4 linked regions of the Elephas maximus indicus genome follow. The protein of the gene in region 1 purifies or fractionates together with the protein of each later gene. This does not show direct contact. Links are inferred from orthologs where the notes say so. Each region holds a gene or a part of one and is shown on either strand. Other genes may lie near its edges. The genes, in order: SLC30A4, STX8, FUT8 and METTL9.

Evidence for each region.
Region 2: the proteins of SLC30A4 (region 1) and STX8 purify together in Homo sapiens (co-immunoprecipitation; 3 studies listed by BioGRID and IntAct, with this or other methods). This does not show direct contact. The link is inferred for Elephas maximus indicus from reciprocal best matches to the Homo sapiens genes SLC30A4 and STX8.
Region 3: the proteins of SLC30A4 (region 1) and FUT8 purify together in Homo sapiens (co-immunoprecipitation; 3 studies listed by BioGRID and IntAct, with this or other methods). This does not show direct contact. The link is inferred for Elephas maximus indicus from reciprocal best matches to the Homo sapiens genes SLC30A4 and FUT8.
Region 4: the proteins of SLC30A4 (region 1) and METTL9 purify together in Homo sapiens (co-immunoprecipitation; 3 studies listed by BioGRID and IntAct, with this or other methods). This does not show direct contact. The link is inferred for Elephas maximus indicus from reciprocal best matches to the Homo sapiens genes SLC30A4 and METTL9.

Annotation. Positions count from the first base shown.
Region 1 is NC_064828.1:10,785,848-10,792,917, forward strand, and holds the start of SLC30A4 (probable proton-coupled zinc antiporter SLC30A4), read left to right. Parts: upstream 1-4,050; 5' UTR 4,051-4,432; intron 4,433-4,743; exon of another isoform or gene 4,744-4,847; intron 4,848-4,871; exon of another isoform or gene 4,872-5,018; 5' UTR 5,019-5,123; coding exon 5,124-5,514; intron 5,515-7,070. UniProt on the Homo sapiens protein: Probable proton-coupled zinc ion antiporter mediating zinc import from cytoplasm potentially into the endocytic compartment. Controls zinc deposition in milk.
Region 2 is NC_064837.1:11,079,377-11,086,734, forward strand, and holds the start of STX8 (syntaxin-8), read left to right. Parts: upstream 1-4,340; 5' UTR 4,341-4,385; coding exon 4,386-4,402; intron 4,403-7,358. Other genes in the region: CFAP52 (cilia- and flagella-associated protein 52), read right to left, coding at 3,307-3,376. UniProt on the Homo sapiens protein: Vesicle trafficking protein that functions in the early secretory pathway, possibly by mediating retrograde transport from cis-Golgi membranes to the ER.
Region 3 is NC_064828.1:77,675,932-77,683,474, reverse strand, and holds the start of FUT8 (alpha-(1,6)-fucosyltransferase), read right to left. Parts: upstream 3,010-7,543; 5' UTR 2,706-3,009; intron 1-2,705. UniProt on the Homo sapiens protein: Catalyzes the addition of fucose in alpha 1-6 linkage to the first GlcNAc residue, next to the peptide chains in N-glycans.
Region 4 is NC_064830.1:82,535,255-82,542,971, forward strand, and holds the start of METTL9 (protein-L-histidine N-pros-methyltransferase), read left to right. Parts: upstream 1-4,710; 5' UTR 4,711-4,932; coding exon 4,933-5,094; intron 5,095-7,717. UniProt on the Homo sapiens protein: Protein-histidine N-methyltransferase that specifically catalyzes 1-methylhistidine (pros-methylhistidine) methylation of target proteins.

The sequences.
Region 1 (7,070 bases):
TCTAGGCTGTAATCTTTATGGGAGCAGACCTCCAGGTCTTTCTCCCGTGGAGACACTGGGTGGGTTCAAACCACCAATGTTTCAGTTAGCAGCCAAGTGCTTAACTGTTGTGCCACCAGGGCTCCCTCAATGAAGTGCTGTAATAGTAACAGTAATATGGTTGGAGTGACCTAAAGTTCTAAATGAGTCAGGATGCCTCCTTAATAAGCCAAGGGCTGGGGCTTAACAATCCTAAGGGGGACAGATTAAGTGGATGATGCCTGATGGCCAGCATTTGCCCACACCCTTGCTTTGTAGGACGGTACAGATGCCATGGCATTTAATGACTTCCTCTAGTAAAGCAGGGGAACCCTGGTAGCATGGTGGTTAAGAGCTAGCTACAGCTGCTAACCACCAGCCTCTCCTTGGAACCCTGTGGGGCTATTCTACTCTGTCCTGTAGGGTCATTGTTAAGTCGGAATTGATGGGTTTAGCAAAGTAGGTAAGGGAATGCTTCCCTATGAAGCAGGTAGGACAAGTGTTCTTTTCCACTTCACAGATCAAAGACTAGGCCCAGCAGTATCATGATGCTGACTCAAGGGGTCACAGCAAAAGGGTGACAAAACGAGAAGGTGATCCAGGTTCTCCAGCTTCTCACGCGGTGGCCTTGTATGTGAAGAAGTGCTCAGGTAGAAAGGGATCTTCATTTCTGAAGTTGGCCTTTCACTGATCTTCAAGCTACCCCGGCCCAGCTGCCTCCCAGACTCCAGGGCTGGTATGCTTGCCCCCTACACCCCCCATCCTACTGGGGTCTCCTACTGCCTCTAATTTTAGCCAGACATGGCTGGAAAAATCCAATAGGAACATTTAAAAACTAAAGGAAAACAAAAACAAAGTTATAAAAACAAGAAACTTGATTGAGTGTAGGTTTCTGTTCAGAGGTCAGTTTGCTTGGCAAGGTAGATGGGGCCCTGGGCCAGGGATCTTCTCCTTTATCTCCTCCTGTCCTTGAGCAAGTCTGTCTTTTATCTGTTTTGGGTCCTTCTCTTCCCCTGGAGGAGGGTGTAATTGAAGCTGCAGCCTCTTAACACTGTAACCCTTGGGAGTTTTGAAGAAACTACTACACTCACCATAGTTGAGTAACATATCACTTACCCTTGTTCACATTTATCCCGTAGCTGTTCTCATCCCCTTCTGAAAAGGATAAGGGGACACATTTCAAAAACATCCTATGGAAACCTCTTACAGCCACATACTCCAATGGACAAAAGAGTTCTCAGGATGGGGAACATGTAGCATTTGAACCTGTCAACTAAGTGGCAACTTTTCCCATTTTTCTGATTAAAAGAAAGTTTCCACTCCCCCCCTCCCCACGCCCCATCATTTCCAAGGGGATTTCATAGGATAATACCGAGATCTCAAGGTGCTAGAAAATCTCTGATGTATGATACAGGGATCTCTCGTGGCCCGCCTCAGGAACCTAGTTGTTTTTCTGCAGATCGTTTCATTTGTGAGCAGAAAGTAACTGAGGAGGCACAGGACAGTAACAGTTAAGAGCTTGAACTGAGTTCCTGCTCTACCACTTGCTAGCTGCATGACCCTGGCCCAGTTGTTTCACTTCCTTGAGCCTACATGTCTTCATCTACCTAAAAAATACTAATAGCTGCCATTGAGTGCCATTAGCATCCTCACTTTATAGATAAGGAAACTGAATCCCAGAGACGTTAAACGATTTGCCAGAGCTCATATGGCTAGTCAATGGTGAATCCAGGATCCAAACAGAAGCTGACTCCAAGGCCCATGCTTTGAATCACTACCTTCTTCACAGTGAGGTTGTGAGGATGAAATGAACTCATGTAAGGCAGATCCTCTGCATAGTGGTTGGCACATTAACAAGTCTCAAGTCAGCGTTATCTGTGGTATTATTTTTAGTACTGTCATTTGTTCCCAGAGTCACCTGGGCCAGAAAGCAGGTTTTGACACAGGACATTGTGCGTCTATCCTAGACAACTGCCCCAAGGTATGAGTCTTATAATTGGACTGACAGGCTTCTGCTATTAAACTAAGCAACCTACATATCATGGGTTGTCTGGTTGAAAGGTGGGCTATATGGTTAGGAACTTTTTGCCTTCACCCATCAGAAATGTCCTTCAGACTGGAAAGCAGTAAGAAGTCTTTTAGAAAAGACTGGAATCCTGAGCACTGGCTGGCAGAATTGTAGGCAGTACCCAGATAACTAATGGGTCATGTTTCAAACATTCATTTGTCTATTGTTAGAAATTCTGAATACATAGAAATAAAGTTACAAATGGTGGTTACAGACCCAGCCTACTCACAAAAGTCTGTTTAGTCCATTTTAAAGCCCAATGACAGAAACCATGCCACTAGGTCAATCGAGGGTCTAGGAACAAAATACTATGTGATAAAAAAACAAGAAAAGTGTCTTTCTGGGTACAGAGGTTTAATACAGAGAGTATTAATTCTTCACTCCTATGTAACAAATTACCCTAAAACTTACCACCTTAAAATATTAAACATTTATTATCCCATACAGTCTCTGTGGATCATCTGGGAGTGGTTTAGCCCGGTGGTTCTGGCTCCTGAGGTTGCAGTCAACGCTGGTCTGGGCTGCAGTCATCTGAAGGCTTGAGTGGGGCTGGGGGACCCATTTCTAATGTGACTCACTTACCTGGCTGTTGGCAGGAGGCCTCAGTTCCTCAACACATGGGCCTTTCCATGCGGCTGCTTGAGCCTGCTTACAACATGGTAGTTGGCTTCCCCCAGTGCAAGTAACCAAGAGTGAGAACAAGGAGGAAGCTGCAATGCCTTTTATAACCTGGTTTTGTAAATCACACAGCATCGCTTCTGCCACATTCTATTCATTAGAGGCCATATTCTATTTATTAAGTGCAACCCACTTTCGATGGAAGGGGAATTAAGCTCCATCTCTTGAAGGAAAAGAGTATCACAGAACTTGTGAAGGTAACTTAAAATCACTATGTAGGGTGTTCTCTGTCCTTCCACCACCAGTGATACAAAGTAATAAAAGGAAACTGGCATGCAGAACTGCAGCCCTCCCCAATAAAGCTTGCTGTATATTGCAAAGACCCACAACAATCCATGCTCTCCTTCCACTTTTCTTGAAAACGCCTACCCCCTTTCCTTAAATGGCATCGTACTTAAATAATTTATACAAAAGAGAGAGTGATCACACTCCTGAAATACTTGGGTTTTTCACTTGTATCTCTCGTTAGTAGAATTTCAGGCTGTTTAACAAAGTGACAATAAAAACAATTACAACAAATAACGTACTCTCAAAATGGGTGGATTAAGACATTTAAGGCTAGGAAAGCAACCTCCAGTAAACCCTCTCCCTTCAGCTGATGATGACCAGAGTGCCCTAGTAGTTGAATATTGTGGGCAACACTCTTCCCTTCTGGGTCATAGGAACCATGGGGTCTCTGATCCAGGTTTCCTAACATGATTCCCACGGCTGCAGCTCTGTAGAAGCAGGGTGGGCATTCAAAACCCAGGGACTGCCGTGGAGTCCAAAAGCAGCTGGTGCTCGACAGTGGCCCCGAGGCATGAAAGATTCTAAAGTGCCATCTGAATCTTCAGAGGAAAATGATGTTTATGTGACTTTTCGTCTCAGTTTTTTACTTGACGTGCGGTACTGTACATAGGCTGTTGTGAAAATACAACACTCATAGACACTGGATAAACAGGAGTTCGCACTATCATTGCCTCCAGGTAGGAGGTAGGAGCTTGACCTATGAGTCCTCCCGACAGTATTTGTTCGAAATCTTGAGTCTGATCCTCATTTTAGAGTATGATGAAAGCTAAGGGACTTAGCTCAGAAAATAAACATACCCACGAAAGTCTGCACTGAAGTTTAAAGCCTCCCGAACCCCCTGAAGCCTGTCCATGGACTCTGGATCAGAAATCTCCGAAACTTTCACGGGGGCGGGGAGGGGGGGAACCTTATCGTCATTCCGCTTTGCCACTAAAATTCAGATCAGAAACCAGTACTGTGGCGGGCGCGAACGTGGTGGTGGGCACACGGGACGGGCGTGCTGGCTGAAGAACAGGAGACCTAAGCAGGACGCAGCGCTGCTGACAGACGTAAACCTTGCCCTCTCCGCGGTGACCTGACTGCAGCGGAGCCGCCAGCTCGGCAGGCAGAGCGAAGAAGCGGTTCGAGGAGAGAAAAGCGGCTCGGCTTCCCACTGGGCAAGGAGACGCCGAATTTGCTTCTCGCGGAGGACGCGCAAGCAAGATCCCGACCCCAGACTGCCAAGACCCTCCTCTGGTGGCGGGAAGACCCTAGCACCGCCCAGCCCGGGCGCCCGGCTGGAAGCCGCCCCGCGGCCTGAGGACCCCGGCTCCGCCGCTCTGCCTCTCCCCCTGAGGAGGTGGGAAGGCCGCGCCGGGGACCGGGGCTCCGCTCGGCCGGGTAAGACGCCGCAGCCCCGGGTTAGCGCCGGGGACAGAGCCGGCCGCGGCCCGGCGGGCGGGGGGCGAGGGCCGGGGCTGCGGGGAGCCGCGCCCCGCCCGCCCGCGCGCCCGCGCGCCCCGCCCCCGGCGCCTCAGCCCTGCGCGGCGGCCTGCGTGTCCGCGCGCCGACTCCTCCCCCGCGCCTCGCCCGCGGCCGCTCGGGCGCACGCGCAGGGCGCGGAGAAGCGGCGGCTGCGGGCGCCGGCCCCGAACCTGTCAGACCCGCGGAGCCGGCCGCGAGCCGCGCCGGGCGGCCGTGGCAGGCGCGGGGGCGACCCTGCGCCCCCGCCGCCCCGGGCCGAGCGGTGCGAGCCGGGCCCGCCGAGCCGGCCGGGGGCGGGGAGATGAGCCGCGGCCCCGAGGCAGCGCCCCAGGTAGACGCACCGCCCCCTCGCGGGGCCGCGGCCCGCGCCTGCAGAGGCCGGCGACCGCGGAGCCGCAGAGCCCGCGCCTCGGGGCCGGCGCTGCTCCCCGCCGTCCGCGGCGTCGGAACTTGAGGGGCTGTGGGGGCGCCGGTAACTGATAACGTGTTTCGTCTTCCGCAGGGTGGGGAGGGACGCGCGGCTCCGCCGTCGGGCGCTGGCGCTCCCGCGAAGTAGCCGGCGGCCGGCCGCCTGCACCTGGCCGTTCGGCGCCGCGCAGCCGCTGCCATGGCGGGAGCCGGCGCGTGGAAGCGCCTCAGGTCCCTGCTGAGGAGGGATGAGGCGCCGCTCTTCCTCAATGACACCAGCGCCTTCGACTTCTCGGATGAGGTGGTGGACGAGGGGCTTTCTCGGTTTAACAAGCTGCGAGTTGTGGTGGGCGACGATGGTTCTGACGTCCCAGAAAGGCCTGCTAACGGGGCGCACCCTGCGCTCCAGGCCGACGACGATTCCTTATTGGACCAGGACGTACCTCTGACCAACAGTCAGCTGAGTCTGAAGGTGGACCCGTGTGACAACTGCAGCAAGCAGAGAGAGCTACTGAAGCAGCGAAGGGTGAAAACCAGATTGACCATCGCTGCCGTTCTTTACTTGCTTTTCATGATTGGAGAACTCGTAGGTGAGTTGTGTTGCCAACTCACTTTGTTTACCTTGCCTAGAGAGCCGTTGTCGAGCTTTTATTGCCTATGATTTCAGGCTTAAACTCTTTTCAGGAACTTCGTTCTTTATCGTGTCTTAGCTTCCTAGTGCCACTATAACAAATACTACAAGAGGGTGCCTTTAAAAAACAGAAATTTATTTGCCCACAGTTTATGAGGCTGGGAGTCTGAATTCAGGGTGCCGGCTCTCGGGGAAGGCTTTCTTTCTCCATTAGCTCTGGAGGAAGATTCTTGTCTCTTTGAGTTTCTGCACCTGGGCAGTCTTCATGTGGCTTGGCATCTCTCTTCCCCCATCTGTTTCCGTCGCTTGCTTGTTTAATCTCTTATATATCTCAAAAGAGATTGAAGACTCACCCTACACAGACCCTGCCTCATTCACATAAGAAAGACAACTCATTCCCAAATGGCATTATAACCACATGCATAAAACCAAAAACCAAACCCACTGCCTTCAAGTCAATTCCGACTCATAGTGAACCTATAGGACAGAGTAGAACTGCCCCATAGGGTTTCCAAGGAGCAGCTGGTGAATTTGAACTGCTGACCTATTGCTTAGCAGCCAAGCTCTTAACCACTGGGCTACCAGTGCTCCAACCACACACATCCCAGCACTGATGAGTCGATTCCAACTCATAGCGACCCTATAGGACAGAGTAGAACTGCCCCATAGAGTTTCCAAGGAGTGCCTGGCGGATTCAGACTGCCAACCCTTTGGTTAGCAACCGTAGCATTTAACCACTACGCCACCAGGGTTTCTAACCACACACACAGAGGTTAGGAATTGCAACACATATTTGTGGGCGACACAATTCAATCCATAATGTTCCATCCTTTGCCCCCCCCCCCGCAAAATTCATGTCCTTCCCACTTGCAAAACACATTTACCCCATCACATCATCCCAGAAGTCTCAAATAAACTCCAAGTCCAAAATCTCCTGAGTCATCTAAGGCTGATATGGGTGAGACTTTAGGCATAGTGCACCTTGGGACAAAATTCTTCTTCACCTGTGAACCCATGAAATGAAGATTACACGTTACCTGTTTCCAAAGTACAATGGAGGAACAGGCTCAAGGTAGACATTTCCATTACAAGTGGGAGAAATTGGAGGGAAGAAAGGGATAACAGGCACCAAGCAAGCCAAAACCCAGCAAAACAATTTATTTTAGCTCACCAGGCTTGAAAATAATCCTCTTTTCTCTTGAGACCATCTAGGCAATAGCCCTGCCTTCCAGACTCTGGGTGTTGGCCATGCCCTCTGGATTCTGGGGGGAGGCTGTACAGCCCTGGGCTTCAGCTCCGCCTTCCAGGCCCACTGGAATGACAACCCTGCTTCCTAGGCTTAGGTGGCCCATTCTTCTAGCTCATCTGAGTGGTGACCCCATCCCCTCAGCCACTGCAGGCCCAATTCTTCTGCCCCTTAGGCATGGCAGCCCCGCCCCCTCAGTGGCCCCAGTGGACTCCAGAACTGAGTTGGCAAGGTCTGACTCTTCGAAACCTAGGAAGCTGTGGCCCTAC
Region 2 (7,358 bases), on another chromosome or scaffold:
GTGGAAGCGCCTGGTGGATTTGAACTGCTGACCTCTTGGTTAACAGCCCTAGCACTTAACCACTACATCCCTAGGCTTTCCGAAGTACTGACAGCAACCCAAATTCGGGGTTTTGAAATCACCAGAGGCTCCACAGGAGAAAGATGTGGCAGTCAGCTTCCCTAGAGATTTACAGCCTTGGAAATCCAAGGGGGTGGCTATAAGTCAGAATACACTGAGGGCAATGAGTTTGGTGGTTGTTTTTTTTGTTTGATTCCTATCAAGAAGGGTCAACTTCCGCTAACATTAGCAGAAAAACAATTTTATGGAAGGAATACAGATAGCTCCCAGAATCCACAGGAAGTGTGAAAATCACACTTGAAAAGTGGGCAGGGCCAATGAGACCGCAAGACCAAGCAACCATCATCTTACAAAAGCTCACAGCCCCGCTGCTCCACTGTTTGACTCCCTGCTCTCTCCCACAATGCTCTGCTTCTTCGCAGCTCCCTTTAAGCGTCAACCAAATTCTGAGTGGGAACTTACAGGGTTTCCAAGGCTGTGATCTTTAGAGAGAGAAGCCCTGGTGGTCCAGTGGTTAAGTGCTTGGCTGCCAACCAAAAGGTCCGTGGATTGAACCCACTAAGCTGATGCATGGAAGAGAGACGTGGCAGTTGGCTTCTGCAAAGATGTACAGCCTTGGGAAACCCTATGGGGAAGTTCTACGCTGTCCTATAGGGTCATTATTAATGCCTCCACGGCAATGGATTCAGTTTTTTTTTTTGGTTTATCTTTCTTCCCACAAAGTGGGGCTGGTGGGTTTGAACCCACCTTTCGTTATCAGTTGAGTGCTTAACCACTGCACCACCAGGGTTCCTTGTTCAAAACAAATAGGCAGACATAGTCAAAACTGACTGGAAAAGATTCATATTTATGCCTATTCCCAAGAATGATCCAACCGAATGTGGAAATTGTAGAACAATATCACATGCAAGCAAAATTCTGCTGAAGATCATTCAAAAACGGCTGCAGCAGTATATCGACAGGGAAGTGCCAGAAATTCAGGCCGGTTTCAGAAGAGGATGTAGAACCAGAGATATCATTGCTGATGTCAGATGGATCCTGGCTGAAAGCAAAGAATACCAGAAGGATGTTTACCTGTGTTTTTTTGACTATGCAAAGGCATTCGACTGTGTGGATCATAACAAATTATGGATAATGTTCTGAAGAACGGGAATTCCAGAACACTTAATTGTGCTCATGAGGAACCTGTACGTAGATCAAGAGGCAGTTGTTTGGACAGAACAAGGGGATACCTATTGGTTTAAAGTCAGGAGAGGCGTGTGTCAGGGTTGTTCTTTCACCATACCTATTCAATCTGTATGCTGAGCAAATAATCCGAGAAGCTGGACTACATGAAGAAGAACGGGGCATCAGGATTGAAGGAAGACTCATTAACAACCTGCGTTATGCAGATGACACAACCTTGCTTGCTGAAAGTGAAGAGGACTTGAAGCACTTACTAATGTAGATCAAAGACCACAGCCTTCAGTATGGATTGCACCTCAACATAAAGAAAACAAAAATCCTCACAACTGGACCAATGAGCAACATCATGATAAACGGAGAAAAGATTGAAGTTGCCAAGGATTTCATTTTACTTGGATGCACAATCAACAGCCATGGAAGCAGCAGTCAAGAAATCAAAAGACACATTGCATTGGGTAAATCTGCTGCAAAGGACCCCTTTAAAGTGTTGAAGAGCAAAGATGTCACCTTGCAGACTAAGGTGCGCCTGACCCAAGCCATGGTATTTCCAATCGCATCATATGCATGTGAAAACTGGATAATGACTAAGGAAGACAGAAGAAGAACCGACGCCTTTGAATTGTGGTGTTGAAGAAGAATATTGAATATACCATGGACTGCCAAAAGAACAAACAAATCTATCTTGGAAGAAGTGCAGCCAGAATGCTCCTTCGAGGCAAGGATGGCGAGACTGCCTCTTACATACTTTGGACGTGTTGTCAGGAGGGATCAGTCCCTGGAAAAGGACATCATGCTTGGCAGGGTACAGGGTCAGTGGAAAAGAGGAAGACCTTCAATGAGGTGGATTGACACAGTGGCTGCAACAATGAGCTCAAGCATAACAATGATTGTAAGGATGGCCCAAGACCGGGCAGTGTTTCGTTGTGTTATGCATAGGGTCGCTATGGGTTGGAACCAACTCGACGGCACCTAACAACAACAATAGCAACAGTCAAAACTAAGATTTTAACAAAGTGACAAGGCTTCCTCTGATCAAAACATCACTCCAGCTTGCCATGGATTCCATCTGTTTCTTACCAAACAACAACAACAACAACAAAACCATTGCCGCCGAGTCTATTCCAATTCATAGAGACCCTATAGGACAGGGTAGAAATTGCCCTGTAGAGTTTCCAAGGAGCGGCTGGTGGATTCGAACTGCTGACCTTTTGGTTAGCAGCCTGAGCTCTTAACCACTTCACCACCAGGGCTCCAAATGGTGACCTAAAATCCTTCTCTTGGCTTAGAGGACCAAGATCGTCCTCTAAATAGGTTGCTCAAACACACATCCTTTCGCCAGCGTTTTCTCAATAGTACATCAGCTGAGATTTAGAAGGGGCCGACACAGAAGGCAGCATCCGGTGGTTAGGAAGGTCGGTGCTCTGCGGGCTGCGTGGGCTTAGAACCAGGGAGGGGTGTCCTAGTGGGAAAGGGTTAAAAGAGGAACCTCTCATCATTAGCTCTTCGGCCAGAGCCAATTCCCACCCCCTTACTCATCCTTCCAGCTCCGAGAGACATTTAGTCCCTTTTAGGTGCTAGAGGAGGAGCCCTCGTGGTGCAGTGGTTAAAGAACTCAGCTGCTAAGCAAAAGGTGGGCGGTTCGAACCCACCAGCCGCTCTGCGGGAGAACGATGTGGCAGTCTGTTTCCATAAAGATTTACAGCTTGGAAGCCTACTCTTGTCCTACAGGAGAACGATGTGGCAGTCTGTTTCCATAAAGATTTACAGCTTGGAAACCTACTCTTGTCCTACAGGGTCGCTACGAGTTGGAAAGGACTCCACGGCAGTGGGCTTGGTTTGGTTTTGGTTTAGGTAGTAGAGGGTGTACAGCTCAGAGGGAGGAAGTGACTCTCCAAGGTCTTCGGACGGGAGAGGCCAGGCTGGACCTCGGGCCAGGGCTTTTGCCGGTGACGTCCACCCCATCCCGGCCCCAGGTGCTACCCAGAGTCTCACTGTCCCTGTTTGCGCTACACGTTCCCGGGGTTCCTAAACTACGCAGCCCAGAGATACTCGAGGCCTCACCATTGAAGCCGATCACCGCCTCAAGCTCCAGCTCGGCCACCTCGGCCTCGGGCGAAGTTTGGGTATCCATCCCCGGACCGCTCACTTTTCTTCTTAGTCTTCTTGCCGGTGCAGCGTCTTCTCGTCGTTATGGTAATGGCAGCGCGCATGCGCACCAGATCTACTTTCCTGAAACCCGGCCAGGGCTGGTCCAGTTGATTTTCCTTCTTGCAAAAGGGGCACTAATTTTCCCCTTCTCTTTCTCTGGAAATTATTTAAATAATTTTTATTATTTAAAGGCACAAAAGTGACACTCCCTTCCTTCCCATATAGAGTCTGTGACATTCTTGGTAACTATATAATCAAGCACCTAGCGAGATTTTTTTTCTTTATAATCCAATTTAGAGGATTGCCTCTGATGGGAAGGGAGCCCTGGTGGCACAGTGTTCAAGAGCTCTGCTACTAACCAAAAGTTAGGCAGTTCGAATCCACCAGCCGCTCCTTGGAATGTCTATGGGGCAGTTCTACTCTGTCCAGTAAAATAAAACATAATTGATAGTTCGTTCGACCCCTTGTTTAAAGCAGGATAAAATTTTAAATAACATGGTTAAGCGCTAGGTCACTAATTGAAAGGTCGGTGGTTCAAATCCACCAGTAGCTCTTCGGGAGAAAAAACTCTGCTTTCTTATAGATTACAGCCTTTGAAACCCTATGGGGCAGTTGTCCTCCGTCCTATAGGGTCGCTATGATTCAGAACCGATTCCAGGGCACACAGCAGCAGAGAAAGGTCTAAAGGCGCTCCTACGTTCCTGCGAAAATAAATGCTTAGATTTTGCTCAGCTGCAATTTCATTTTAATTGCACATAACAGTTTGCGTTTCTTAATAGGCACAGATTGCTGCAACGTACCGTTGCCCAGGGGAGCGCTTTCTTTTTTTTTTTTTTTTAAGCGTAGTTTTCGGGCCCTGGCGTTGCGGTTCCCCCCTTGGCAAACTCCAGGCGCCCCGGCGCACGGCGGAGCCGCGGGGTGTGAGCCGCGTGGGCCGCCGTAGTCAGCGGCCGCAAACAGGAAGTGCCCCAGCCTCTGGCGGAGACCGCGCCATGGCGCCCGACCCCTGGTGAGCCCTGGGCGGGGGCGGCCGTCCGCGAGGCAGCCTGGCGGGAGGCCGGGCGTCCGGGGAGCTGGCGGCCGCCCGGCCTGAGGGCTGGAGGGCCCTCGGGGTGAGGGGAAGGGCCGCAAGGGCCCGTCCTCTGTGGAGGGCTCAGCCGCGTCCCGCCACCCCGGGTCTTTGCGGCGGCGGGTGGCCGCGGAGGAGACCGGGGGACCCCTGGGGACCGGAGGGCGCGGGTCGGATCTCCGAATGTTTCCCTGGCCCTTCCGGGGTGCCTTTCGCTGCGGGGTTTCCCGCCCGTCCTACTGGGGGGCCGGCTGGTGTAGGCTTTCCCCGAGTCCTGTCAAAGTGAAGTAAAAGTAATCTTGTGGGGGGACGTCCGTCCAGCTAGTGAACCTCCTTATTTCACAGATGGAGAAACCAGGGCTCAGAATCCATCGTCCCCATCCAGTTGGGGGTAGGACCTAAATCTCGTCGTTGAGAAAATTTGTAGGAACCTGGGAGGAAAATTACGCACTTTTTTGTATAAGGTATTTTACTCTGTTGTGTGTAATTATCACGAAGACTCGTTTCAGCAACGTCTTCTGCAGTAAAACATCAGCTGATAAGGGCGATTAATAACGACGAACCGTTCGGTCTCAAGGACTGAATGGTCAAAGACAAGCTCTAATTCCGAGGAATTCATCCTTGTAGCATATTGAACTTGAACTTTTTGTTTAATAATTAAAAATGTATTGTAGCATCATAAAGTTCTTGTTGGCGTATATGTTTTATGTTGGTATTTTAAATATAGGTTATGATTGTCTAGGTTGCAGGCGGTCTGGATATTAGGAGAATGGATTCCAAGATCAAGGTGAAAGCAGCTGCCTAATATCTACATCATTTGTGTCAGTCTCATCATTGGTGTAAAACTAATTTTAACAGTTCTGTACACTCGGGGTAGAAAATTTAGAAAATAGTGAAAATTTGTAGAGAATATATAGCATCTTTAACTCTACCATTTGGAAATAGCCACTATTGATTTTTCAAATGAGTTCCTTACTTTAATCTGTGTAATATATATATTCCAAAACAGAGCATATTTCCATGTGATTACATATTCTCTGAAAACAAGATTTTTATGGTGTTAAAATAGTCATATGAATGACTTATTTAACCAATATCCTCTTTGTTAGAGTAGGTAATTAATTAATTAAAAAACAAAAACAAACTATTGCAAAGGCTGGCCCATTGTTCCATCTCTTATTCCTTGAGCTCACTGTCTAAAAGTGAAACTGTTGGGTTCAAGAGTATGAACATTTTTTAGTCCCTTGATACATATTGCTAAGTTGCCTCCACCTCCTGGAAGCCAACCCCTTCAGTTTACACGTAATACTAAAAACCAGTTGTTGTCAGTCGGTTCTGATTCATGATGACCCCGTGTGTGTCAGAGTAGAGCTTGTTCAAAAGGGTTTTAAATGGCTGATATTTGGGAGGGACAAAAAGCCAGATGCACTGCACCAAAATGTACTACAGTGCTAAATGTGGAAACAGAACCATAAAAGAACTAGAAAAAAGTAGTGATGAATATACAGCCTTGTGTTGGAAAAGACCTCATGTGCATCACAGTGGAGTAGTGCTCCATAGGGATTTCAGTGGCTGGGTGGACTTGAACCTTCAACCTTTCGTTTGTAGCTGAGCCTGTTAACCGTTTGTACCACCAAGTGACTCCCAGTTTACACCCAACCCATTTCTGTCAAGTCGATTCCGACTCATAGTGATCCTAGAGGACAGAGTAGAACTGCCCCATAGAGTTTCCAAGGAGCACCTAGCGTATTCGAACTGCCAACCTTTTGGTTAGCTGTAGCACTTAACCACTACGCCACGAGGCTTTCCGCAGTTTACGCAGAAGGTAGGAAATAAAGCCCAGAAATAAGGGACAGGCCCAACACCATTTATTTAGATTGACGGAAGCCGTAACTGGGGACTCAGGCCTCTTCCATTGTTAATGTTGGAAAAGCATTTATAATATTTTTCTGTTATCCACTAGTTTGAGTAAGTGGCTTTCTCATTTGACCTTTGGGAGTGACACAGTAAGGGACCTCTGCTTTGCTAGTGTCCACTAGTTTTTCAGAGTGGACTGCCGAGCTGCTGATTAGGAGGTAGAGAGGGGTGCGGAAAAGGACTTTGGAAAACCTGTAAAAACAGATTTGACTGCAGCTTTACCCGAGCGCTGTTGGCTACAGCTTTGCCCGTGTGCTGTTGGCTACAGCTTTACCCGAGCGCTGTTGGCTATTAGAGGTCACTGAGGCCTCACTCTTGTGTAGTGTTCTAATGCTTACCAGTTCCGACTCATGATGACTCCAGGTGTTTCACTATAGAACTGTGCTCCACAGCGTTTTTAACGGCAGATTTTTCAGAAGTAGGTTTGCTAGACCTTTCTTCCAAGGCACCTTTGGGTGGATCTGAACCTCTTATACTGGAGCCTCCAACCTTTCTGTTAGCAGCCAAGCAGACTAGCCATGTGTACCACCTAGAGAATCCGGTTCTATTGTTTACAATGGAACAGTAGTTACTACTTTAATGGCAGGGTCCCTAGGTGGAGTCCCTAGTGGTACAAATGGTTAGCACTAAACTGAAAGTTGGCTATTTGATTCTACCCAGATGTGCCTTGGAAAAAAGGCCTGGCGATCTGCTTCCAAAAAACTAGCCATTGAAAACCCTGTGCAGCACAGTTCTACTCTGACACACGTGTGGTTGCCGTGAGTTGGAATCAACTTGATGACAACTGGTTAGTTACTGTTTTAATGGCATATTAAAAACAAGTGATAAGCTCATTGTTTAACAGAAGTAGTAAGTTATTGCCATACTGTGTATGAACTGGTTCTTTGCTAAAGTTAATTAGCTTTATCACTATGGCAGCTGGTTTGTTGATGACATATTTCTGAAAAAAAACCGTAAGACCTCCATAATTGTATACTAT
Region 3 (7,543 bases), about 67 Mb from region 1:
ACTGGGTGGGTTCCAACTGCCAACCTTCAGGTTAGCAGCTAATCACAAACAACTTGTGCCACCCAGCCTCCTGTGGTAGTTTTTTTCAGGTTAAAAAATGGCTTCCAAATACCACTGAGATATTCAACAGATATTTATCAAACACCCACTAGGTACAATACACTATGCCTAGGTCCTATAAATAAAAATAAAACTAAGAATATTTCTACACATTTCTCCCCCTTCAAATTGTCTGGCCATTTTACATGTGTGTGCTATGGGAATTCTATTGTCCCTCTGAAGTTTGTAACTAAAGATTCCTTCTGCATCTATTAAAACACAAATCTTCTAAGTTCTAAATGTACTCTACTATGACAAAATCAGAGTTCCATAGTACTGAATCTTTATACTATCACTTTGGGGACTATATATCAATTCTCTCTGTAAAAATGCACCTGTGTTTAATTATAGAATTACAGAATCTAAGAGCTAGAGGGAACTGTATGATCATATAGACCAATCCCTCCATTTTATAGATGAAGAAAGTAAAGCTAAGAAAAGGATAAATGATGGGCCCATGGTCATACTCTAGCTTATTTTTCTGACACAAAAGTGGTTTCATATACTTTTCCATCCCCCATTTAAAAATCAGAGCTGCAACTTTCACTTCTGGCCATAATAGGGACCTGAATTACACTTTTATTTTAAACAACCAAGAACTAGACAAAATATAAAAACAACAGCTTGCATATATTGGACAACATGCAGCACATAACAGTGATCTCTGAGAGACAAGAAACAAAGTGAACCTGTATTTGTCCCAGCTTACTGCCTGGACAGTTTCCATCTACAGCACAGGGAAGGAGAACCTCAACAGAAGCTGGAGATTTTCCTAAACTGGAGGTACTAAGTTGAGGATTCAGGAAGACTAAGGCAACTAGAATCTTCTGTAGGGTAGATTACCAGAAAGAAGAAAGCTGCACACACAGAGACAGAGAGAGAGATCTAGAGATCTCTAGAAGTATCCCCTCAAGTCTTCAACTGAGTACCAATCAGCACATGTACGTGAGGAAACTATCTGAGGCGGGGAAAAGAACCACTGGGAAGGAACAATGACCAAAGCTCACACAGGGCTGGAAATAGTTCACATTTCCAACAGCCTGAATGCAAACATCTTGTAATACATTGGACACCAGGTTGAGTACTGTGCTCAGAAAGGTATTGTCTCATTAGGGGGGCAAAATGGCCCTGGACTAGAAGTCCTGGCTATCAAAGCTTAAACACACATCTCAAAAGAATCGAACTTCCCACGTAACTTAACTGCATCCCAGAACATTACTCAAAAATGTCTAAAGACACTAAAAAAAAAATCCACCCCAGCAATACAAAATTCACAATATTTGTCATCCAATAAACAAATTACCAGGCACGTAAAGAAGCTGGAAAACATGACTCATAATGAGGAGAAAAATCAATCAACAGAAACAGACCCAGAAATGACACAGGTGATAAAATTAGTAGACAAAGACATTAAAACAACTATTTTAACTATGTTCTAAATGCTCAAGAAAGTAGTAGGCGTGAGCATTTTAAGGAGAGAAAAGGACAATATGAAAAAAATACACAGTCAAGTTTCTTAAGATGAGAAATGCAGTATTTGAAATAAAAAATCAGACCTGCAATGGGAATTGTAATTTTTGCCATTATTTCTGACTATCAACACCATAAATGTGGAAATAATGTTTTTCATCAGGTCAAAAATAGTCCTTTTTGTATTAAAATCTCAAAGCTATGTATCAGGGTACATCAAAATCATCAATGTAGAATAGTAGTTGCATAGCACAAATATGTTAGCTGCAGTTGCTATTGTTATTTATAAATAATTGGAATAGCACACAGCCTTTGCTATATGCAAAACATGCTACGCCAAGCATAACTTCTATTCAGAAGAGTTTAAATTCCAAAGACGAATGAAAAATTGGGTTCTGTGACTTGTAAAGAGAAAGTATTTTTTTATGCACCACTCAGGACATGGAATAAAGCAGAGAGTTTTAGACCCTTGTTGGGATCAGTGGTGACAGCATTCCCAACAATTCATTGGTGAGCTGCAATTTAAAGGATCTAACCTTTTTTTTTTTAACCTAAAAAAGTCTAGGTAATGAGAAGGGGAAAATCAAGCATAAAGCAGAGGTAAGACCAAAAAAGAAACTCTTACGAAAAGTAGAAATGTAAGAAATGTGAGGACTATGGTTTACAAGTACACATGAATCTCCCTGACAAAGCTTAAGAAGGAGATAGCATGACAATGCAGTTAAATTCAACCAACAGTTATTGAGTGCCTGTTACCTGCAAGACACAGCACTGAATAAAACAGTATCCCTTTCCTCCAGAAGCACAAAATATGATGCAAGAGACAGATGCAGATGCATAAATAACTTTATCATAAGTCAGACTGATAGCCGCAATAATGAAGACATAGCCACAGCTAAAGGAGTATAGAGAAGTGAAATAACAACTGAATCTTGGGTTAGGAAAATGGGAGAGGACTTTACAGAAAAGGTGACGTTTGAACTATGTCCTAAAAGATAAAGGATTTTACTATATACAACAGGGTGATATATAAAAGGGTTAATATATGATTATTCTTCATCTAATCACTGTCTCCCTGACACCCCCATCCATTCTCTGCCTCTCTGCTCTGCTTTGTAATCCATAGATTGCCTTACCTGGCCTCCTTCGGTGGTTGGTTGGCTGGCTTCTTCTGATTGAATTTGAGGGCAAGAGGAGAGAGAGGTTGGGGTATTTCTTCACTATTCCTGCTTCAGCACTGTGGTTTCTGGCAGTGGCTGCAACCCTCCCTGCCTGCAGCTCTTTCTGATGGACCCCTTTTCCATGGCTCCAGTTCTCACTGAGCTAAGGAAACATATTCTATCCCCTTTTCCCTTTGGGTCTAGGAGAGGTAAGAGCAACCTACATTTCTAGTCTCTGGGTGCCTTGACTACTTTTGTGATTTTCCCTTACTCTGACCATATATGTCTGTCCCTTCATTTGAACCATCTGAGTTGGTTCTTTTTCTTTCTGTTTCCTTCCTGCTGATAATAGGAGTTAAGACCGTTCTAACCTAGACAGAGGGAGCAGTATAAACAAAGACAAGAAGGAATGAAAATACATGACTGGGGAACCATGAGTCATTCTGTTAAGACTTCATCATGGGAAATTTCATAAAGATGAAATCTTCTATAGAGGAGAATGATTTTAGTGAATTTGGGCCCACTTATGAGGGCCTCACCAAGGAATTTGGACTTTATTCTTGGACAATAGAAATCCAGTGGTAGTTATTGAGTGGGTACAATCAGATCCGTGTTCCAGAAAAATCTCTCTGCTAGCATGTGACGAATGGAATGAAGAAGGAAGAGTCTGAAGGCAAGGAGCTAGGTAAAAAATCAATGCAAGAAAGTCATGAAATGGGACATTAGATGGTGGCAGAGAGAATGGATTTGAAAACGGGTCAGCAGTAAAATTTATAGTCTATGGCAAATGAGCAAAGTGAAGGGCAAAGAAGAAATTTTTAAGAATGACTTCCAGATCTCCAATTTGGGGGAATGGGAGAATTGTGGCCCTATAAACACAGAGGAAGAAGTTCTTAGAATTGGAAAAATGATGAGTGTGATATCGACCACATGGAAATTGAGGTGCTGCATAACATTTAGGCTGAGGTGCTCAGCAAAGAATGGAAATTTGGGTCTCCATATCAGGAATGAAGTCAGAACTGAAGATAAAAGTAAATACTCTAGAGTTGTGGTTCTCAGTCCTGGCTGCATTTAAGAATCACCTGAGAAGCATTTAAAAAGCTGATGCTAGGGCCCAAACCCCAGATCAACTAAATCCAATTTCTAGGTGGGGCCCCGGTATTTATTTCTAAAGAGCTCCACCAGTAATACTTATATGCATCCAGATTGAGAAGCACCAATCCAGAGTAAAAACAAAAGCAGATACGAGTAGACAGTTGAGGTTCACCTGCATTTAAGGTACAGACAGGGCAGATGATAGAGCACAGATGATGAAGAGGCAGACAAAGATAAAGGCAGTAAGAAGAATTTTATCAAGAAAGTGAACAAGCACATGACATGTCAAGGATGTGCAGAAGAGAAATGGAAAAGGCCAGTAGATTTGGTAACCAGCAGATAGTTACTGACCTCTGGGAGGACAGCTTTTGTAACTGCAGAAGCCAGATTGCAATAGGCTGAGGAGTAGCTTTCAGGTAAGGAATTGGAGGCAGGGAGTGTAGACTCCTCTTTCAAGAGGTTGGGTGCAATAGGTAGGAGAAACAGCCAGTGGCTTAAGAAGAAAAAAGGCTGAGAGAAAGTTTTCTTGGTTTTTAGAGTATATTAGTTGACTGAGGGTAAGGAAGCTTCAGTGAGGGGGAGAATGAAGATACACAGGGATTACTGGAAGAACTGGACCACAGAGGTGCTCAGAGTATGGGAGACCAAGTGGAGGAGTCAGCCAGGAAAGGAATTCCAAAGAGATAAGCTTTAAATTGAGGACAGTTGACGGAGTTCAAGTCATTATTTTCATAATGAGATGGAAGGCATGGGTGACTGCTGAGAGCAAAGAAGATAGCAGGGAAATGGAAAAGAAAAGGCAGAGAATAGTTACTGAGATATTTCCATGTGCCAGGCACCATGCTGAAGCCCCACCAAGTTATCTCAGTCAGTAATTAAATGTGCTTTTGAAGGACAGATAGGATAAGAAGCAAAAATCAAGCCTGTACTGTCCAATTTCAGCCATCTAGTCACCTTGCTCTCTTGTGCCATTACTAATTAATGGCCCTTTAAAGCTTGGCCTGCAATCTGCTTTAAGTTAAATGCTCATTTCTAGCTGAATAGGAAAAGATTTCAGTTGTGATAATATTTCCTCAGTTTAGTTTAAAGGAAAGAACTGTAGAAGATCATTTAAGAAAGAGAAAAAGCCTATTATTGAGAATGCCCCATTAGTGAGGACAAAGAGAGATGGGGCTTCAAAAAGATAGTGCTTAATGGTCCAAGTTAATGGCAATCGATAAATATTTAGGAAGTAGATTTAACCTGTATTTTTTTAAGTTCTTCTTTTAAATGTGAAAGATAAAACTTTCGATTACAAATTCATCAAGGGCTAGAATTGTGCCACCTCTTTCCACAATGCCTGGGCAATTGTGTGGGGTCAGTGGATAGCAACTGAAGATTGAGACAGCCTATATTACAAGACCCTCCCATTATTATCCATGCCATGTGGTATAGGCCAGCAGGCCAGTAGGCTAGATAGCTTCCAATTTTACAGATGGCAAACAGCCTCTAAATTGGAAATTTGTTGTGACATTAGCTGTCCTTTTCTCTGAGAAACACTTTCCAAAATTGGGGTCAGTAAATTCAGAAGTAGCTGCCAAGGGTTTCCTTCACTGACATCCTAGTAAACCAAGTTGAGGAGTTAGGGTGGCTACAAGGAAAGACAGGATATCTGGCCAACCTACCTGAATGAGCTGAGGGGGATTATGGAGAGATGATCTTTCAAGCTTTAGACCGCCAGAAATTCAGTGTGGACTGGAGATGGGGATAAGGTTGCAGAAGGCTGGGAAAGCCGGGATGAATTTAGGGTAGCAGTGCTGCTTGGCTCCCTGCCGCTGGGCTACCGAACTACTGTATTGTTTCCAAAGCCACTGTTGGACATCTTGCCTTGGGTTACCGAACACTACCTCTAAAAGACTTTTTCTAGTTTCCATTGAGTTAATTCTGACCCGTGGTGACCCCATGTGTGCCAAAGTGGAACTGTGCTCCATAGAGTGCTCTGTAATAGCTAATTTTTTGGAAGTAGATTGCTAGACCTTTCTTCCAAGGTGCCTCTGGGCAGACTCGAAGCTCCGGCCTTTCCATTAGCAGCCAAGTGCGTTAACCATTTGTACTACCTAACAAGTCCTCTAAAAGACTATCTCATTTTATCCTTATCGCTTTTATTATTGATGTCCAGCCCACTTACAAAAAATAGATTTGAGACCATCGGGCCTCCATATCTTGAATCTAGAACAGCATGTAGCTGCTAATTTCAATGGAGACCGGATCCTAGTTTACATCACTCACAATAAATAGTTTGTTCCATCTCAGGTCCAAGCACAGTGCCTAGCACATGAGGTAGTTGGCATTCACTAGGTATTTTTTGAATGTTTGAATTTCACTTATGTGATTCTGCTTCCTAGTGTTTTCTACATATTATTTTTATTTGTTTAAAAACTTCCTTAAAAAATTTTTTAAGAACTACTCTATTTCTTAAAATAATTTTTTACATGAAATACTCAAAGAAAAATTTTGATGCTATAAAGAAGACGCAGTACCTAGGCACCCAGAGGTTTTCCTAATCCTCCAGTGGACCTGTTTGGCCTATATTCCTCGAAGTGTTCTAACATAGTTACTCTAAGGGGGTATTAATCTGAAACTCCAGGGCTTTCTGTCCTTTGCTTTCTAAATAAACAGCTTTCAAGTGAAATTATTATGGCTAGAAGACCTTCAGGGGTAGTATCACCTGATATTTATCTTATGCGTTTCTTTAGTGGAGCCTCCATTTCTTGTTCTTCTCCATTACATCCTAGGCAGTTAGGTGCCAGGCAAACACTTCCATTTCATCTCCATTCTAAAAGGTCAACGTGATGACAAAATCAGAAACAGAACTCAAACCTTTTGTTTTCTCTCAAATTTCATCACACTTAACCTTGATCCAATAGTCCCCTGTTCCTGGTAACTGGGATTATAGAAGACTGGCTTGAAACAAACATCCTCTCTCACCCTCTTCCTTAGCAGCTTGCACTCTGAATTCATGATCATACCAGCTCTTAAACTGTAATAACAGGAATAGTAAACTTAATTTTACATAGGATCTTTCATACAGATCCATCACAAAATGCTTTGCATCTAAAGAGTTGTAGAATTACAGAGCGGCACCACCAAATTAAATAATAAGTAACAGCTGATACTAATAATTAGCTTAATTTATGGTCTAGCGGAACTGTCACAACTGAAGCGGCACTCCCTCCACCCCGTCTCCTTGTCTTTTCTTCCTCCTCCCTCCTCCCTTGGCAACAGCAAGCAAGCAAAGTGCTAAGATCGCCATATTAGTCATTGTAAGTCAAGACACTTCTTCCTTTACTCTCTAGCTTTCTGACCTTATTATATCAAGTATTTCCAACCTTACACTTTATGTACAAATTATCAAATGGGAATCTAATATGCTCTGTAAACTTTCACCTAATGCACATAAATAAATAAAGAATTTCTAACCTTTTTGGAGTTACTACACCCCATCATTGTTTAATTTTACAACTGCTTTTCCTTTCTAAAGTTGCATGATGTCATGCACTTGGTGGGAGGTGGCACTAGGAAAGATTCAAATCTCTTGAGAATTTGCAACATCCTCAGAAAGGCTCTTGTAGTTAGATGCCTTCGAGTCGATTTTCAAGTCCTAATGACCCCATGTGACAGAGTAGAACTGCCCCACATGGTTTTCTAGGCTGTAATATTCACAGGAGCAGATCACCAGG
Region 4 (7,717 bases), on another chromosome or scaffold:
CTAAACCCTTTATATGAAGAATGTATAATTTAATCCTCACAACAATCTCAAGAGATCAAACCCTTTATATGAAGAATGTATAATTTAATCCTCACAACAACCTCAAGAGATCGGTAACCATTATTAATATCACCATTTTATAGATGGGGAAACTAAGAACTGAAGAGATTAAGTAATTTGCCTCAAGTTGCATAACTAAGAAGTGTTGTGCCAGGCTTCAAAACCAGGTGGTCTGAAAGATTAGAGAGGCCCATAAAACAAAATGAGATTAAAGGGGCACACCAGCCCAGAAGCAAGGACAAGAATGCAGGAGAGCACAGGAAAGCTGGTAATGGGGAACCCAAGGTCAAGAAGGGGAGAGTGTTGACATGTTGTGGGGTTGGCAACCAAAGTCACGAAACAATATGTATATTACTTATTTAATGAGAAACTAATTTGCTCTGTAAAGCTTCATCTAAAGCACAATAAAAACAAACAAAAACAAACTGGTGGTCTGTTTCAACCTGTTGCTGTTGAGTCGATTCGGACTCACAGTGACCCTATAGGACAGGGTAGAGCTGCCCCACAGAGTTTCTAAGGAGTGCCTGGTGGATTTGAACTGCCAACCTTTTGGTAAGCAGCTGAAGCACTTAACCAGTATACCACCAGGGGTCCTAAAAGCGCAGGATAAACCACTATGCTAATGAGTAGCACTGGGAGCTCTCCAAGGGAGTAAGCTGTGTTATTTGTACTTACTCTATGTTAAGAGGAAACCCTGGTGGCATAATGGTTAATTGCTATGGCTGCTAACCACAAGGGTTGGCAGTTTGAATGCGCCCTTGGAAACTCTATGGGGCAGTTCTACTCTGCCCTATAGGGTCACTATGAGTAGGAATCGACCAGACGGCACTGGGTTTGGTTTTCTATATTAAAAGGAAACCCTGGTGGTGTAGTGGTTAAGTGCTATGGTTGCTAACCAAAAGGTTGGCAGTTTGAATCCACCAGGTGCTCCTTGGAAACTCTGTGGGGCAGTTCTATTCTGTCCTATATGGTTGCTATGAGTTGGAATCGACTCGACGGCAATGGGGTCTATATTAAAAACAAAACAAAAAAACCTGTTGCCTTAGAGTCGACTCTTAGCAACCCTGTAGGACAGAGTAGAAAGGCCTCATAGGGCTTCCATGGAGTGGCTCCTGGTTCAATTCTGCCTACTTCATGCTATTACTTTTTAACTGTTTATAATTTCATCTTGACTTGGAATTTATCAGAGCCACAGTGATATGACTTGCATATGATTGAAATTACTTTAGCTAAATTAAAATAAAAATCCCACTGTTGTTCCATGCTGTTGCGTCCATTCCAACTCATAGCAACCCCATGTGACAGAGCAGAACTGCCCAACAGGGCTTTCTGGGGTGTGATCTTTGTGGAAGCAGATTGCCAGGTCTCTCTCTCACAGAGCAGCTGGGTGGGTTTGAACCACCAACCTTTCACTTAGCTGAAAGCTTAACCATTGTGCCACCAGGGCTCCTTAAAAACTCCCTACACTTCACTAATTTTATTTTTTAGAGGTGCTTATTGCTTAAGAAGCACAGCTATTGAATATATTGGGGAAAACTTGTACTTTTCTCTGACACTTTACAAAATGTTATTAAGAAGCATTAAAAAAAAATCTGGGGCTTCCTGGGGGAGGGTAGTGTGTTCCTTTTTGGGACATCGAAGTTCCACGTTGGGAACCCTCCCAGACCTCCCCCTGTGTCTCTTCATTTCTATCCTTTTTGTTATAATAAAACTGTAATCACATATCTGGACACAGGCTCCACTCTATGGATTCTGGTTGGAGGCCCATGGGGCCTGTGCATCAGCCCTGCCTTTCAGACCCACTGGGAGGGCAGCCTCTCCCTTAGCTCGGGGTGGCCCCATTCTCCTGGTACACTTGAGTGGTGACCCCACCCCTTTCGCCCCACGTGGCTTAGTTCTCCTGGCCCACTGACACAGAAGCCTTGCCCCTTCAACTTTGGACGGTGGCTGTGTTAGCTGGTATCAGAACAGAATTGGTAATAAATTGGTTTGGATCAATTAACACCACACACACACGCACACACACACACACACACACATCTAAGCCCATGAACATGTGATATGAGTTCTTTCAGGATAATATCCCCTCAGGGAGATGGCAAGACCAACAGTGACCAGCATGTTTGCTACACTGTACAGATCCAAGTCTCTCACCCTTTGGGTTGTCTTAAGATTATACACTTTGTAGTTGAAAAGAGAACATGAAAATGCCATGACTTGTAGCTTAAGAGGAAAAAAAAAAAAAAAGCCCCTCTCTAGAATTCTAGGTAGGAATGTAATCCAGTCAAAATTCCAGGCCTGTGCACAAGGCTGTGACCCAAGGTTTCCACCAACTCGATACCAAGCTAGACACCTGAGCTCCTGGTCAGGAGGGCAGTGAGAAGAGGTTGGCACAGAAGGTGTCAGCTATGTGTCTTTTGAATATCACTGACTGAATTTCGAAGTCAAGTTAGAAAGGATATTGGTTCATCTCTGGATTTTTGTGTTCTTTGTGCGTCTTCCCCTCTCCATTATGGATAACTGAGGTTTTAATATACAGTGGTGACATTCTAGTAGATGAAGGAAAGGGGCAGTCTCTGAGGGCCATCTGAACTTCTGCTTAGTATATTTACTCTTGCTGTTTTCCTTCCTCCTCATTTGTAATTCAGGAGGCTCTCTGAAAAGAGAGAGAGACAGCGAGGCTTCTCAGATGGATCGGAGGACCAAGAGCTGGGATACCAAGTTCTATGATAAGGTCTGCTATTGAATTTGCTCTGCTACCTTTAGGCAAATCATTCGATCACACTGTGCTTTGGTTTCTTCCTGTGCTTGTTAAGTGTAAATAACATGCATTGAATATTTTGTGATTACTATAGAGTGTTTTAGATGTGTGGGTGGTCTATTGTTCTAGGTTGGCTGCTCAGGTATAAGGCAAAAATCTGTTCGTTTGAGATGCTGGGCTTCTGGGAGTCAACTGACCTCAAGCCCTTCAGGCTGCAGCAGCATCTAGTTGCTTCTTGTTCATCTGATACATTTTGCAGTCTCTGAGTAGCAGTGCAGCAGGCTTACTCTATGGTTGGGGGGGGGCATACCTTTTTTTTCTCCTTTGTCTTCAGAAATGAAATATGCCATTTTATGCAGTACTACTATTTCTACCCCCCCACCCCTCCCACTTTGAAAAGGTGAAGGCTTTCTTTTGGCACTGATACCAAGAGACAAGAGGCAGAGGTGACATAGTAAACAAACTGAGTTATTTGGACTTGTTACTATAATTCCTTCTTGATGATTTGAGCCCAAGACCACTAGAGGTTTGAAGCAGATTTAGTAAGGTGCAGGCTCTTTGGGGTTTTGGCAGGAAGCAGTCAGGGAGTATTTTTTTTTTTAGTCAGGGAATATACAGAACTGGAAGGAGAGGACAAAGTACCTCTCTGCCCCACCCTTTTTTTGTTAGAGGCTATGTCACATTAGGTAACAAGATATCCATGTTAGTGAAATGTGCCAAGCTGAGATTCTTAGAAGCTAATAGAAATATTTGTGGATAAGGTACTATTTTGTTTCTCATCAGTGGATGACCTCACCACCGTTGCAGAAATGAAAAGCTCTGAAGTGCAATATGGCATGAACTGAGGGGTTTCTTCCTTTTGTTTTGAACTAAAATAAAATGTATTTACATTATTTCTGGTTCAGTTAAATTAAAATCATTTTGTAAACAAACCAACCCAAGAAGGCGTTATTAAAGTTAAAAGGACGCGTGAAACATGTTACTCCTTAGTTGCAGCTTGAGTAGCAGCAGAAAGAACGTTAGACACAGTGTAACCCTTCAGTTTTGAGAGGTTGCTAGGTCTCCTCGGGCTATAAATGATCAAAGAAACATCCGGGTAAATACTGCTCCCAGAGCTTACTTCGCCTAAGAGTGTTGGTTCCAACTTTGGTCTGTGAGTTCAAAGAAAGAGCACCTAGAGACACTAATTTGGGGTCTTCATCCTTGGGCAGAGTCATCAATACATCAAAACATTACCTGCGGGTGCCCCAGCTGCAGTAGCTTTCAACAAAGGCAGAGCTTTCCTCGATGCCTCTTAGAAACATGCAGCCAGCAACTGGCCAGACTTGGGGGAACCGAGGTGGTGGTGGTAGCGATGATATTCTCTTTCCCTAGATTCCTGTCTGCTTTGCAGCTCCTGCGAAGCGAGGTGGAGGCCCTTGGGATAGGGTTCTGGCTTGTCAGCTCGTAGTCGTGCTCGTAACAGCTAAGAACTGGCATCGTTGGTCCATGGGAAGGACTTGGGTCTGAATCTTTGGATGCACGAACGCGATGAGACCCACCCCAGGCAATCTGCTCCACAAAGTGCAAGTCCTTCCTGGGGGTGGAATGACGAGCCCACTGGCAAAGGCTAAGGCGAAGACAGACCTGAGGTCTTGCAAGCACTACCTTGGAAGGAGGGGAGGCTTCAGTTACCGCTTTCGGAAGTGAGCTCCCCTCCCCTAAAAAATTTACATGGTCTCCGCCATTACGTGGGGCCGCGCTAGAGACGGCCGGCGGGGGCGCGCGCCAGGCGAATGCGCGCTCCCTTTGTGCCACCTCCCAGCCGGCCTGCTGATTGGACCAAGGGAGCGCGCCCCGGCGAGAGCGCGCCCCAGCAGCTCGTACGTGCTCCGGGTGGAAACCGGCGCCGTGGGCGGCGGCGTTCCGCGGCGGAAAGGAAGGAGGCGGTGGGAAGGCCGTGCGCTGGCCGCTCCTCCCCGCCCCCCTGCCTCTGCCCTGGAGGGGCTGGATGGGCAAGTTGAGCGCGATGGCTCGAGCCTGGGCGGTGGCGGTGGTGGCCGGAGGCGGCGGCGCCTCCTCCTCCTCGCCCCGGCGCCGGCGGTGATCGGAGTGAGCGGCCGCGGCCCCCGATGAGACTGTTCGCGGGCTGGCTGTGCCTGAGCCTGGCGTCCGAGTGGCTGGCGCGGAGGATGTGGACGCTGCGGAGTCCGCTCCCCCGCTCCCTGTACGTGAACATGACGAGCGGCCCAGGCGGGCCGGCGGCGGCCGCGGGCAGGAAGGAGAACCACCAGGTACGGGAGCCGGGCCCGGCCGGGGTCGGCATCCGGCGGGGGAGCGGCGGCCCGGCCTTCCCGCGCTCGGCCCGGCCATTGTGCGGCGCAGCGCGGCAACAGCGCCGCGGGCCCTCGCCCCGCCGCCGGCGCCCGGAAACTTTTCCCCGCGACTTCCCCCCGGGCCCCGGCCCGCGACCCCCGGGCGCCCGGCCCGGCCCTGCGGCGCCTTTTGTTCCCCGGCGCGGGCGGAGGCCGGCTTCCCCTTCCCCCTCCGCGGGCCCGAGCGTGGGCGCCCGGAGCCCTGCATTGTTCCCGGGCCCCCGGCGGGGCTGGCAGAGGCCCCTCGGCGCCCGCTCCCGGCGGCAGGACGCGGAGAACTTCGGGGCCGGCGGATGGCGAGGGTCACCCGCCTGACAGCGAGGCCTGGGATGAGGACAGCCCTCATAGCCTAAGGGGCACAAAACGAAAAGCCGGCCCCTCTTTTTGTCTCGTTGAATCTCTGAACATACAAAGGGTTGTGAGAAATTGAAACGTGCGTCGTGAGCCATTTAACTCTCCGGGCTTATTCGGGTGACATTTTCCCTAAGCGCTTACGTGTGTGAAAGGTCCTCACGCCCATCCTACTGAGCCTTCCCCTCCTACCCAAGAGAGATCTCCTTTAAACTTCGATTTAGGCATCTGACCAGAAGGATGCATAAAGAGGAAAATGATGTCAGCTGTTACAGGAAGGGCTTTTAAAACAACACCTGGCAGGACTGAATTCTTTTTAAGAGTTATAGTTGTGGGTCGTGAGCGATGCGATAGGATCGGTTACCATCTTATTATTAGCTCCAGTTTAGTGCCATTTCAAAGAAGGATGTGCAGGTCAGCAGTCGAATTAAGAGTGAAATATTTTGTGTTTGATCATACTGTAAGTTTGCGGTTAGCATTACATTCATTTAAAAGAGGCTTTTGGTCGCGGCCAGAAAGTTGACTCACAATAGCTTGCATTTATAGTACATTTTACCTATTCTGAGAACTCCCCATATAACCTTGTGCAGGGATCATTTTCATGGATTTCTTATTTTTCTTTGTTACTTTTCTTATTCGAGGTATTCAGAGAGTTTACGCCAGGTTGATTTTACGTGTTTTTTTTTTTTTTTTAAGATAACATTTGTTTATTATTTATTTATTTATTTATTATGCTTTAGATGAAGGTTTACAGAACAAACTAGCTTCTCGTTAAACAGTACCCATATTGTTTTATGACATTGATTACTAACTGCATGACATGTCAACACTCTTCCTTCTCGACCTTGATTGGATACCCTATTAGCAGCTTTCCTGTCCTCTCCTGCCCTCTAGTCCTTGCCCCTGGGCTGGCGTGCCCCTGTAGTCTCGTTTTGTTTTATGGGCTTGTCTAATCTTTGGCTGAAGGGTGAACCTCAGGGGTGATTTCATTACTGAGCTGAAACGGTGTCTGGGGTCCATAGTCTCAGGGTTTCTCCAGTCTCTGTCAGGCCAGTAACTCAGGTCTTTTTTTGTGAGTTGGAATTTTGTTCTACATTTCTCTCCAGCTCTGCCTGGGACCCTCTATTGTGATCTGTCAGAGCAGTCGATGGTGGTAGTTGGGCACGATCTAGTCGTACTGGACTCAGTCTAGTGGAGGCTGTGGTAGTTGTGGTCCATAAATCCTTGGGACTAATCTTTCCCTTGTGTCTTTAGTTTTCTTCACTCTCTGTTGCTCCCGAATGGGTGAGATCATTGGAGTATCTTAGATGGCTGCTCATAGGCTTTTAAGACTCCAGGCACTACTCACCAAAGTAGGATGTAGAACATTTTCTTTATAAACTATGTTATGCCAATTGAGCTAGACATTCCCCGAGACGATGGTCCCGACAGCCCTCAGTGATTTCATATGTTTTAATGAAAATAAAGAATTCTAGGAAGGAGGTAAAGCAGCTCATTCGGAAAAGTAACATACAGTTTTGATTAAGCAAGTATTTGTAGTAGTGCTTTTTCTGTTTTAAAGGATATCCTAAATGTCTATAAGATTTTTGGTAAACCCCCAGCTATCACAATTTGTTAGGCGATCAACTCCTATGATATCATTAGGTGTGTACATGAAGTTCGTAGGCAATCTTAAATTGTAAAGCCACGTTGATTGATTTGGATTTATTACTTTTTTTTCCTAAATTTTATTTTGTTGTTGAGAATATACACAGCAAAACACTAGTTCAGCAGTTTCTACATGTATAATTTAGTGATGTTGATTACATTCTATGAATTATGCAACCATTCTCACCTCCTTTTCTGAGTTGTTTCTGCCTCATTAACATAAACTTAATGCCCCCTAATGTTTCTGTCTAATCTTTGGAGTTGCTGTTGTCAGTTTGTTCCCCTGTGGATAGTTCTTAAAAGAGCATAATGCTCAAGGCAGACCTTTTTTACTAGTTAAGCCAAACTGTTGTTCAGTTTTAAGATGACTTCAGGGAATATTTTTGGTTTAAGGTTTAAAGATTATCTCAGGGCAATAGGTTCAGGGGCTCATCCACCCTCTGGCTCTAGAAAGTCTAGAGTCCATGGGAATTTGAAACTTCGTTTTACATTTTCCCCCTTTTGATCAGGATTCTTCTATGCAGTCTGATCAAAATGTTCAATA